Macaca fascicularis: one gene and its partners. The protein of the gene in region 2 purifies or fractionates together with the protein of the main gene of each other region. This does not show direct contact. Links are inferred from orthologs where the notes say so. Each region holds a gene or a part of one and is shown on either strand. Other genes may lie near its edges. The genes, in order: KDM3A, TCEAL1 and USP11.

Region 1 (3,647 bases), on a different chromosome or scaffold from region 2:
CTGAAACCTGTCACTAAGAATAAACTTCTCCAATTTTATTACCTTCTCGCAGAATTTAAAATTCAATATTCGTATGAAATGTCAAGACTGTCAAGGTCCCTGGGCTCCTTCAGACCAGTATTTCATATACATTTTAAACCCATGATTTCAAGAACTTAAAAAGCTCATTTTCCCCCTTTTAAAGGTTTTGATGCCACGTAGACCTACTCACAGTGAGTACAGGGAGAGGCAATTCCAAGGTACAGCTTTATTATTTTTCCCTAATTTTCCAAACATGAAATTATGTTACATAATTCATTACTGAAATCCTTTTGAAAAAACCACCCCTTCAGACCTCTTTCAGTCTGAGAGACTCAGTTCTGCTCTACCTAAGGGTGATGAGAACACTGCAGCACTGAAGGTTAAGAACTGTATTCATGACCCCTGACAGGCAGCTGGGCCAAGATCAGAAGACAAATCTATTCATTTTCAGTACTAAGGCCTTTCTCTGTGGGGACAGTTCCTTACAGATTCTAAACAATATCAAATCAAACCAAGGTGAGATTTCCTCTTGTTCCTCCCTCACTTAAGCAGATAGTGGTACTAGATATAAAGTAAGTTCATCAACTCACTGTGCTACTAAGTATGATATGGCCAAGTCCACTGACTCTCTTTATAAGGTCAAGAATGGGCCATGAAGCCATAGCCAGAGAATGCTAGGAATTGGTGCTATTTTTACCTGTAATTTATCTTCATGATTGGTGTGAGTCTGTGACAGATAGCGGAATTCCTGAGTAAGCCAGAAGCAGTGTTTAACATGCTCTGGAGAAACAAAATCTTCAGCCACTTTGATGCAGCTATACAAGTTATGAACCTGAAAAACAGCAAGTGATATCAGTAACCCAAAAGTTCACACTATAAAGAGAATAAAGAAAAAGTAATGATTCTTGCCTGATGTGGAGCTCCTGCCGGGATAAACACCACATCCCCAAGAAACTGCACAATAGCCCAGCCTTGAACTCCATACTCTTGATGAAGACGCTTTCTTAATGATCGGTCTAAATACCAGCTTTGATCATGAATAGGATCGTGGTCTGCTGGGTTTTCTTGACCTTGCTCTTCTGACACCTAGAATACACCCAAAATGTTATGCAACAGTAACATGCTAAGGCCCAATAAGCCATTTTTTTCCTCTAAACAGTGTTGGCAGTTCATAAATGTCAGGCCTTCTTCAACTTAAGTGCCCCCATTGGCAGAAAAAGACAAGTAGTACTGGAAGACTTCAGCTGAATGAACCAACAGAAGAAGGACGAGGAAAATGTGGCTTCTCTGATGTCAGTTCCCATAAACCATGACTGGCAGGCTCTGTGTAAGTTTGTAAATACTGTATTTAAACAATATTTTAGTCTAGACTTTTAAACATAAGTAGGCTCAGGCTCCTTATAAATGAACTTGTTTTAAAGTTATCAGAAACTTGTCTTCACTTAATCTGACTTATGAAACAGTCCCGAAGACAGCTGCAGATTAGACTTGTTTATCCTTGATCCAGTAACTGGTAAAGCAGAGACTCAGAGTGACAATATCAAAGGAACAATATGGTGACCAAGCCAGTTTTCTGCAAGAGCCAAATGATCCTTAGCCAGAAACACCTTGATTCAAACAAATGCTTGTTAAAGACATACTTGGGGCCAGCTAACAGGTTAGGAATGTTCATATCCAAGACTCGTGAATGACTGAAGCATATCAGCCAAAGACACCTGGGTTGCAACTGGCAGCCTCAGTGCCAAACAAGTTTAAAACTGAACATGTCTCATCTTTCTAGTTGCCTAGAATTTCCACACATAGCCCTTGCTGAAAAAACCGGCCAACGACAGGGGAAACCTAGAATCTTCTGAATCCCTGCATCCCTTGCTAATGACAAGTAGGGTCACTTGCTACATGAGAGTGGACAAAACCAAACTTAGTAACTCACTCAAGAACATGGTCACTCAGGGCCAAGGATACATGCACCTCTGAAGTGCTCAGATTCTTAAGGCAGTAAAAACAAATAGATGCTGGGAGATGATCAGATGAACTAACTTGAAAGCAGAGAACAAAAATTTCTAAATGCACTCTAACACAAAACACAGCCATAAAAGACAAGGCCTGCTTTTTTTAAGAAGTGTAACCCTAATCATTTAGAATCCTTGTTCCTTAGCAACCACCTTCAGCCTATTCAATCTGACAGGTACAGATTTAACTTTTCAGGTCGTGACAGTTCCCCTAGCCAAGCCAGTCAGTTCACCACATGTAACGTAATATTGGTATTCTCTATTCCTCTGTTCACACATGCCATAAAAAGCACACCTTTTTAAGAAATTCCCTTATCTTCTCCGTGTCCTTCGCAGCATATATGTGCCACAGTGCTCCTGGCTTCTCTTTTCCTTCAATAAATCGCTTTATTGTGAGTTCGTCAGAATCTCCATCTTGGATGGTCTTAAGGACTTCTAGAGCAAGAAGAGAAAGCAAATATCAGACCACAGGCCCTGGCTCAAAGAGTAAGCCCTCCTTTTATGCTCAGCACCCTACCTTCTTCTTGCTCACACTGTCCTTTGGGAATTCCCACATAGACCATGACATTAGCTGCATCAGATACATCTAAGTGAAGATTTGTTGTTCCATATTTCCGATCTTCAGGAGTGATTAATCCTGCAAAAACAAAGTGCCTTAAGTTTACGGAAGACAACAAAGGCTGCCATAGTCTTTCCACTACCTGGGGGATGGTAGGTCCCTGATTGACTCTTCTGCTGAGAATAAAAATTCTGGATCAAACTATTGCAAAAAAAAATCTTTAACCAATCAATGTGCTAGCAAGAAAAGAAGGAATACTCAGAAGCCAAAAACAGGAGGAAATGGAAGTGGTAAAGCAGGCTTCTGAAGGTGGGATTTGCCAAAAGGACATCTGCTAAATCAAGTGAGCTCAGGCTCTGATTATTGCCACAGCCTAGGAGCTCTGGGACAAGAGGCAAAGCCCAAGGACCACTCAAGATGGGGAGTCCAAGGGAAAGCCCCCACCCACACACACACATAAACCTGGAACCTCAAATGGCTATCACAAGTATAAGAAGGAACACTGCCCAACGCATTCCTTGGTTCTCTCAACTGTAAAAGAGGAGGGGTGAGGAGTGATGCGGAATGACAAGTCCCTCCAGTGTTCATAGTCTGTGGCTAATTCCTTGCTCACAGGAGAAGGCTCACCTTGCTCAGCAATCATCCTGAAGCTTACCCTGCAGTCACCTTGGGCAAGCCATTCTAACACTAGGACTCTGCTTCTTAGGCTGGGCAGTAGAGAGAAGCACAGCTTGTAGTGAGCAAGCAGCAGCTGTTTTCTAACCTGCTGGCCTCTGCAAACGCCCCGCAATACTGTTTTGGAGGAAGACTTTATCTCTGGCTTGCCTGGGGCTGTGGTTTTAGAGGGGCTATACTTTTGAGAGGGCACATTTCTTCATTCCAACTTGGGACCAGAGCCCCAGAACCCTGTTGTACTTTTTCTTTCCAGCTTGCTGAAATATCAGCCCTAGGAATAGGTAAAGCATTTGGTATTAGAATGAAATCATAGTATAGATGAGAGGATGATGAAAAAATTTAAGGAGAGGAGACAATGAAACAATTATGGCAAAAAGTTGAAA
Region 2 (3,928 bases):
AAAGGAAGAACTATTTTACTAAGCATTTTTTAAAGACATTGAGGTCTAAGCAGCATTGGGATGGTAGCCTCCTAGCTAAGTGCAATATCAAAGCTGGAAAAAGGGCATTCATATATCTGCAGGAGATACAATTCAGCTTGGGCCCAACAGGGACTCCAGAGCAATCAGTGAGGCTTTGTACCTTAAGCACTCCAGCATGTCAGCAGGGATGAGAGCCAGTGGAAGGATCAGGACCCAGGAGAAGGAGCAGCAGTGCCTAGCAGATACTGTAAGAATCTGAGAGTACAGCAGGACATGAATAGAATGTGGCACTCACTTGGAATCTCACCGGAATTGTTTGTGAGCACAAGTGAGATCTCCTTTGGGTACCCTGCCTATGTCTGCAGGGAATCTATAGGGGTTGGGGTCCTGCCTGTGCAGGTGGAATAAAGACCCCAAACACAGCTCACACAATCTTTTTCTCATCCGGTCCCACAGCAGCACTGTAAAGCAAGTATTATTCCTATTTAAATGAGAACAAAATGACTATTAAATATAATCAATATCTGGCTTATATTTGTGCCTAAGAGATTCAGAAAAAAACATAGGATTCACTTTTTTTTTAAGTTCTGACAAGTATTTATTAAGTGCCACATTGTCTTTATAAGCTGATTGACAGTTTTTTTCAAAATTGGGTGATTTTTTCATTATATATTTTTGCAACACAAGTAAAATGTTTGTCTTGAAAAAATGAGAAATTCAGATAAAGCAAAATTTTTAAAAATCACCTATTATCTTACCACACAACCACTGTTATACCTTTGAAGTATATACTTTGTTTTTTCTTTGCATATTAATATATAAATATACATTTTTTACAAAAATGGGATACAATATATACCATTTGAAAATTGCTTTTTTCGTTTCACAATATATAATGTACATCTTTCATGCAAATGTATATAACTTATGATTGAAAGAGGGAAACTTGTAAATTTTAGGGGGAAACCCCAACTTTAAGCGAGTTACAAGCTAAACATCTAAAATAAATCCTCACAAAAAGTTAAAATTCAGAATATGGGAAAAGGCATTAAGAAAACGCACAGAAAGTCCAGGTGGCAATGGCAATACTATTAGCAGGCAAAACAGAATTAAAGGGCGAACACATTAAATAGGATAAGGACGGCTCCGTTTTGCCTTCCAATGCATTATCATCAGTTTGTTTCTTACTCTTTTCATCTCTTCTAGCTCATCTGCTGCCTGTATCATCTCCTCATTGCTTAAATTTCTGCCATGTATGTCCCCTCTAAATTGCGGGCGAGAACGAGCCAACCTTTCTTTAAAGCTTCCTTCTTCAAGCTTATGTTTTCCTACTCCACAAGGAGGCTGCTCCATGGGAGGGCGCCCCTCAAACAGGTCCTTCCTGGAAAGGCCCTCCTGCGGAGGGCGCTCCTCCGAGAGAAGCATCTCAGGCAGGAGCTCAGGCAGGAGCTCCTCAGGAAAGAACTCCTCCTCCGAGGACTGCTCCTCCGAAGACTGCTCCTCGAGGGACTGCTTTTCGGGAGAGTGCTCCACCGGAGGCCTCTCCTCATCGGTCTTGGGCGCGCTCTGCGGCTCTTCTTCATTTTCTTTGCGTGGTTTGTCCATGCTGGGAATTTTCTTCTTCAAGCACAGTTATTCTTAGGAGACAAGAAAGGCAGAATAGAGTCAGAATACTAAGTGACTGGACTAACACCCAAACCGTGGGTTCCAATACCTGCCTTTTCCTGATTCGGGGCCCAGGCCCTCAACCTTGCGCTTTCCCAGAGGCTCTCCGGCTCTCCCGACTCCGCCGCTTCCCAGTCGCCCCCTCCTTCCCGAAAGCCCACCATTTTCCCAGCAGGCTTTGCTACAGGCCTCGCCCGCAGTGACTGGCGGGACAGTGCGGCCTGCAGACTCCATGCCTTTCGGCGTCCACCCTCGCGCCCCAGTCCCGGTCCACTGCGTACCCCTTCCCTGACCTGGACCTTTCCGGGCCGTGTGCTTCTAGTCGTCCTCTCCTCGAGGTGCCCCGCTGTGACCAGCAGACCTGCACACAGACGCAAGACAGGGTAGGGGGCGGGGAGTGGGGAGGAGGGACGGACTGACTGACACCCCCCATCCCCCACTTTCTGGGCACCAGCCACTGCCTGCACGCCCCCCACCCCTCGGGTTCTCCTCTAGTCTCAGACCCTGCTTAAAGCTTCGTCCTCCGTGCCCGCACCTCCCCACCCCGCAAAGCTTGCCATTTCTTTTCAGATGGGAAGTGGAAGCGAAGCATTCTTAGAAACTATTTCCAAGTGTCTGTACCTCCCTCCCGAGGGACGGGGGAAGCACTCGCCTTCCCACCCCGCCCCCAAGACCACCATATTTTGCACAGAAATATGGGCGCGGGAGGCGGGGCTGGAGCGTAGGGAAAGGCCTGGACTCCGCCATCCCGATTCTGTCAACCCCATTCCCCGGGTTACTAGGCAGCGCCGACACTCACACCGATTTAAGAGGGTAGAGGGAACTTACTTCCTTCTGCTTTCCCTCTCGACCAAAGGTAATAGGGAGATGGTGGACAGGCAAAAAAAGACCGGGACGAGAGGGACTTGGGCAGACATAGGCTCCTGGTCACGTGAGGGACGCGCGTCACTGCCGAACTCAGATCCCCAGTTACCACTTTGACCCGCGGCCTTGCCGCAGCCACCTGCTAGTGCCTGCTAGTGTTCCCTGACCCCAGACACACCAGGCATTGTCACTCACCTCTCTTTGTATTTGCCTTTTCCTGGTTGCCAGAGACGGTCCGCATCTAGTCTCGGGTAGTATTGCCTCTTCCTCTGTGCTACTTCCCCTGGTACCACCTCTTTCTCTCCTCCTCACTTCTTAGCCACCAAGGCCCCTTATTTCCCCTGCAGTTCAGATTCTGCACTGACATTTGACTATTCACCTTCATAAATCAGTATTATATCCTTATATCCCAACACTCTCAGTTTTAATCCACATCCATATCTCCATCATGTCCATTTAGGCTCTTTCAGCATGTTTTCATCTCTTGTCACTTTCATGGGAGACAATCTTTCACTTTTTCTTGACATCACATTTTGTTTTTTTGAGCCCCCAGACCTAAATTGGTAATCATTCAGTTCTAGACCTCTAGAAAGAGTTAAGTTTGTAAAGTTTGTAGATCTAAAAAGAATGAATACTTTAATTTTTGTAAATCAAATACGCATTTGTCCGTGTGTGTATACACACATATATATGCATGTATACACACTGAATATATTATATATTAAATAACTTATATTTACATGTGCACATATATATATATAGATCAGTAGTTATTTATAATAGAATAAATAGATTTTACTGGGACTCTCAATCCTTAACCAGCCACCTCTTGGTGCTTCTGGTTGAGGAAGTTTATATTAATTCACTAAATTGACAAATATTTGAGTTCTGGGACTGCTGGACCCCAAAAGGTAGATGCAGCAGGGAGGGCATTCCGTATTAAACTATGCAATAATTCTGTTGACCACATACTGAGTAGCAGGACTACAATCATGCTAGCATTGTCAATTGTCACTGCATTATGTATTTTTTTTATCTAATGGTATTTTATGATCTTTAACCTTATGCCTGCCTCTCACCTACTCACATCAGCCTGGATGCTACTTTCTTATGCAGATGCTCTTTCCTCCACAGAGCATACTACTTCCCTTCCCTCTGTGTTTTACACTTCCAGGGTAGATGGCCATCTGATCTGTGAGGATCCTGAGATTTTGTTTTAAAGCCAGGCTGTTTAGTAAGTTTCTGAACAGAAATTCATGTGAAATTTCCCCTTTTAAGAACTGTTGCTTTTCTCCAACATCTAATTAATTTTGTGTTGAGATGGCAGTTAGACAAATATTAGTTTACCTTCATATCTTCTTTATAACTGTTTTACTTT
Region 3 (4,303 bases), about 63 Mb from region 2:
ACAAGGCCACAAAGGTAGGAAGAGGCAAGGACCAAAGCCTCAAGGCCCTTTTGAACATCTTCAAATGGGTTATAAAACATTGTGGTTATTTTGTTTATTCTCAGGATGAAATGAGGCTTTTTCTTGTAGGAAAGGTATGACGTAATGGCAGAAAAACACGGCTTGGGTTTGTATTCCCGATCTGGAAAATCTCAACTCATCTCCCCAGTAACAGAGATACGCATTTCACTGGTGTGGTTATTAAAGAACTCTGTAGTGAGTAAACCTCACTCGAAAAAGCCCTAAGGTTAGATGTGTTTGAGGAACAGCAAGAGTCCAATATGGCCGGCCTGGATGGAGACAGAGAGGGAGTGCGTAATCAGAGGAGAGATCTGGGAAGACATCAGAATGCAAGCTGGAGACCAGCTTCATAAAGTCTTACGATTCACTGTAAGGATTTTAGCATCTACGTTGCAAGAGATGGGAAGCTGTTAGGGGTATTTTGAGGAATGGTTGGACATGATACATGTTTTAAAAACAATTATTGCGTACGTAAAGAGGAAAACGGTACTTTTACAGTTGAGAAACCTGGCCAACACTACCATAACCAAGTGATCAAGGTTAACATCACCAATGATGTCATGTGGATACCATGTATCACCTGATAGGAAGAGAAGGGCTCACAGTATGCATCCAGTAGAATTTTATATATATATTCCATATATGTATAAAGTGAAAGCTTAGACATTACATACTACTTAGGGATGCATACAGTTGTGGTCAAACATTAAAGAAAAGGAAGAGACTGTTAACTCAAAATTCAGGATAACAGTTTCCCATGGAGCAAGGAGGGGAATTTCCATCTGGGAGGGGCAAAGAAGGATTTCTCAAGACAGTGTTCTGAATCTTAACCTGGATGGTGAATTCACACGTTTTTATTTAATTATTATTTAATTTTTAAACTTTGAAATAGATTGAGAAAAATGGCAAAAATAATACAGAGAATTCCCACATATCCCACATCCAGATCCTCCAAATCTAATATTTTACCCATTTGCTCAATCGTTGTTTCTTTACATGCATTCTTTTTTGGTATTTTTATTTATTTAAAAATGGACAAAAATGGTATATATTTATGGTGTACAGCATGAAGTTCTGACTTATGTATACATTGTGGAATGACTAAGTCAAGGCAATTAACACATCCATTACGTCACATACTTATCAATTTTCTGGGGGGTGGTAGAACATGTAAAATCTCTCAGCAATTTTCAAGTATACAATGAATTTATTAACTATAGTTGTACAATAGATCTGAACTTATTCTTCTTGTCTAACTGAAATGTTGTATCCTTTGACCAACATCTCCCTAATTTCCCCTTTCCCCTCACCACATATAAATTTATATATGCTAATTTTTCAGGCATTTGAGAATAAACTGCTTACACAATGAGTTCTTATCCCTAAATTTTTCAGCATTTCCTATAAACAAGGGTATTCTTTTTCATGCCACAATGATCACAATTAAGAAATTAGTAGTACTAATATCTACCCACTTTAATAAAATTTCACCGATGTTTCCATTGCCTTTTACAGTAAAAGAGACAAAAATAATCTTATGATAAAAAATTGATTTTTAAAATAATTTTTTTTTTCTGTTCCAGGATCCAATCGAGGATCACATGTTGCATTTAGTTATCATGACTCGTTAAATCGCATTAATTCCTTCAATTTAGAACAGTTCTTCAGCCTTTGTCTTTCACGACCCTGACATTTTTGAAGAGTGTAGCCGTTTATTTTAAAAGGATGTCCGTCAATCTGGGCTGCGTAAATGTTTTATACAATCTTCTTAGGTCTTACGTATTTCACAATTAAAAAACCAGATGCAACTCGGCCAGAAATAAAATGAACCCAGAAGCAGTAAATCTCAAGAAGCACTGTTTAGCAAGAAATCAGTAAAACAAGCCGATTTATCAAAATTATCGGTTTTTAAAAAAAACGACTTTTTCTTGATTCTAAAACCAAAACAGTACCAAGACAGAAAATCAATTGAACATGGAAGGCCCCTCCCGTGCTAATCACTTGCACGTTCTCTCGACTCAGGAAGGCTTCTGCCAGAATAAAAAACCTCTGCGCATTATAAACTTTGCTTATTCGCAGGCGCCATTTTCTGCCTTATAGGAACCACCTCCCCTCCACTGTCGTCCCTCGGCCTCAGAACACGCCCCTCGGCTCACGTCACCAACCTAACCTCGTTCCCAGGCTCCAAGCTCCTCCCCCACGCAGGTCCCCGCTCCCTCCCTCGGACCGTTCGGCTCCATCCCGCTCTTCTGCTGACGTCACAAAGCTCGCCTCGTTCCCAGCCACGCCAGAGCAATCGGAGACCGCTCCCCGCCCCCAAAAGTTGCATTACGCAGCGCAGGCCGCGCCCCCGCCTTACATCGCAGAACCCACCTTCCTCCCAGGTTCCTACGCAGTTTCACTACGCAGGCCCGGCCCCACCTCCAGGGCTGAAACCGGTCTCATCACAACAAACCCCATTTTGTTCTCAGGCGTCAGACTGCACCACACAGGCCCCGCCCCTTTTCCAGACGTTGCGATTCATTCAAAGACACTTCCCCGCCCCTTTAGCCCGCTGTCCCGTCGGCCACTCCCCCGCCCCCGCACCCCGCAGCAGCTTTCCCGCCGCCCTCGGCCGCCGAATCTCCAGCGGTTGTCAATGCCCCCACTGTCCCCTCTGCCGAGGCTTCACCGCAGCCCAGCCTCACCAGCTTTCGCCGGCCCGCAGTGGACGTTCTCGCCCACTCTCGCCGTTTTCTATCTGGCGCCACTGGCTGTCTAGGCCTGGCAGCTCCTCGCGCTGTGGCTCTCTATCCTCAGCCACCGCCACCGCCGCCGCCACAGCCGCCGCAGCAGCAGCTGGATTTGCTGCGACCGTCGCCATCGCTGTCCGTTCTCCTCTACAGCCAACGCAGCTGTGCGAGATTGGAAGACGCCCCTCAACAGCCACTTCCGGATTCTGGTCCCGGAAACGGAAGCAGAGCCCCCCAAACAGTCGCGGGGCTACTGCCATATTGGAAATGGCCCCGCGCACAGACGCGTCGAAGGGTTAGGTGGGGTAAAATCTTCAGTGGGAACCAAGAAAGACAAAAGTGCCTTGTGGGGTTCCAACGCCCTGTAGAGTTAGGGCACAGGTGGCATGGAAAGTGGAGGCTGAGGTTCCCGAGGTGGGCGAGGACTCCTACCCTGGGAGCAGCGTTTGTTAGCCTGATCAGAATGCCCTTCATTGTACTACCCTTAACCATCAAAACCCAATGCAAAAGAGGTTTCCACCTCCAGAGACCCACCTAGGCCTGCGGGTCATTGTTTCTCTTCCTGAACTAGATTTATTCACTAGACAAGGTGTTGAAGGCAAGTTAGCCCCAGGCCCTATGTTTGTTGGAGTCATAGCAATCATAACTAAACTAGCTGTCCGCCCAGTTTAAGTGCTTTGTTGGACTAAAATAGTAGCCTCAGGCAGCAGGTACTGTCCTTATCACCCATGGGTAACAACTGGACGCTGAGTACCAGAAATGTCCCTCAGCTAATAAGTGATGGAGCTGCAGTTTAAACTTGAGAAATCTCGTTCCAGAGCTGTGACCTTAAACACCAGGTCAAACATTCTCCAACCGTGTGGTCCCAGCCTGTCTACCGGTCCAAAACTCCTCTTGGGGGTTCACAAAATGAAAACTATTTTCACAATACTTTTTCACTCTCATTCTCTCAGGGGTGTACAGTGTAATTATCTAGAGGCTTCTGAATCCAGAGGCTATATGACATAAACAAGAACTCTTTTGAATGTCTTAAACTTTTAAGAACATAAAGGAATCCCGAGGCCCAGAGTTTGAGAAGTCTTGCACTAGGCCAGGGTCTCTCAACCTCAGCACTGTCATTTCTTTGTTGTGGGCATTGCAGGATGTGTAGCAGCATCCCTGGCCTCTACCTACTAGATACCAAGTAGTACCCCTCAGGACAACCAAGTGTTTCCAGACATTACCAAATGTCCTTTGGGGGAAAAATGTCTCTGATTGAGGACCACTGCACTAGGCTATGCTATTCTTTTCTCTGCCAGGGCTGCCAGCCCTGTTGGTGATGACTTTAATTTCGAACCTCCCTTCCCCCTCACAATCTCGTAATTTACCTATTTTCAGTTAACCTCTGCGGGGCAGGGATTGTGTCTTTATTACTCTGATTCCAGCCCCCAGCCCAGACCTGGCATAGATGAGGGGTCAGTTTTGTAAGCGCTGGGTGAGGTAAGGGAGCAGCCCTTTCACTTAAGGGTCCC

The links.
Region 1: the proteins of TCEAL1 (region 2) and KDM3A purify together in Homo sapiens (affinity purification with mass spectrometry; 3 studies listed by BioGRID and IntAct, counting the BioPlex papers as one, with this or other methods). This does not show direct contact. The link is inferred for Macaca fascicularis from reciprocal best matches to the Homo sapiens genes TCEAL1 and KDM3A.
Region 3: the proteins of TCEAL1 (region 2) and USP11 purify together in Homo sapiens (affinity purification with mass spectrometry; 4 studies listed by BioGRID, counting the BioPlex papers as one, with this or other methods). This does not show direct contact. The link is inferred for Macaca fascicularis from reciprocal best matches to the Homo sapiens genes TCEAL1 and USP11.

Annotation. Positions count from the first base shown.
Region 1 is NC_088387.1:35,095,250-35,098,896, forward strand, and holds part of KDM3A (lysine-specific demethylase 3A), read right to left. Parts: intron 2,668-3,647; coding exon 2,548-2,667; intron 2,466-2,547; coding exon 2,326-2,465; intron 1,108-2,325; coding exon 931-1,107; intron 854-930; coding exon 719-853; intron 1-718. UniProt on the Homo sapiens protein: Histone demethylase that specifically demethylates 'Lys-9' of histone H3, thereby playing a central role in histone code.
Region 2 is NC_088395.1:110,002,379-110,006,306, reverse strand, and holds TCEAL1 (transcription elongation factor A protein-like 1), read right to left. Parts: upstream 2,575-3,928; 5' UTR 2,515-2,574; exon of another isoform or gene 2,244-2,514; intron 2,070-2,243; exon of another isoform or gene 2,048-2,069; 5' UTR 1,740-2,047; intron 1,659-1,739; 5' UTR 1,627-1,658; coding exon 1,147-1,626; 3' UTR 595-1,146; downstream 1-594.
Region 3 is NC_088395.1:47,339,069-47,343,371, reverse strand, and holds the start of USP11 (ubiquitin carboxyl-terminal hydrolase 11), read right to left. Parts: upstream 2,944-4,303; 5' UTR 2,924-2,943; coding exon 2,748-2,923; intron 1-2,747.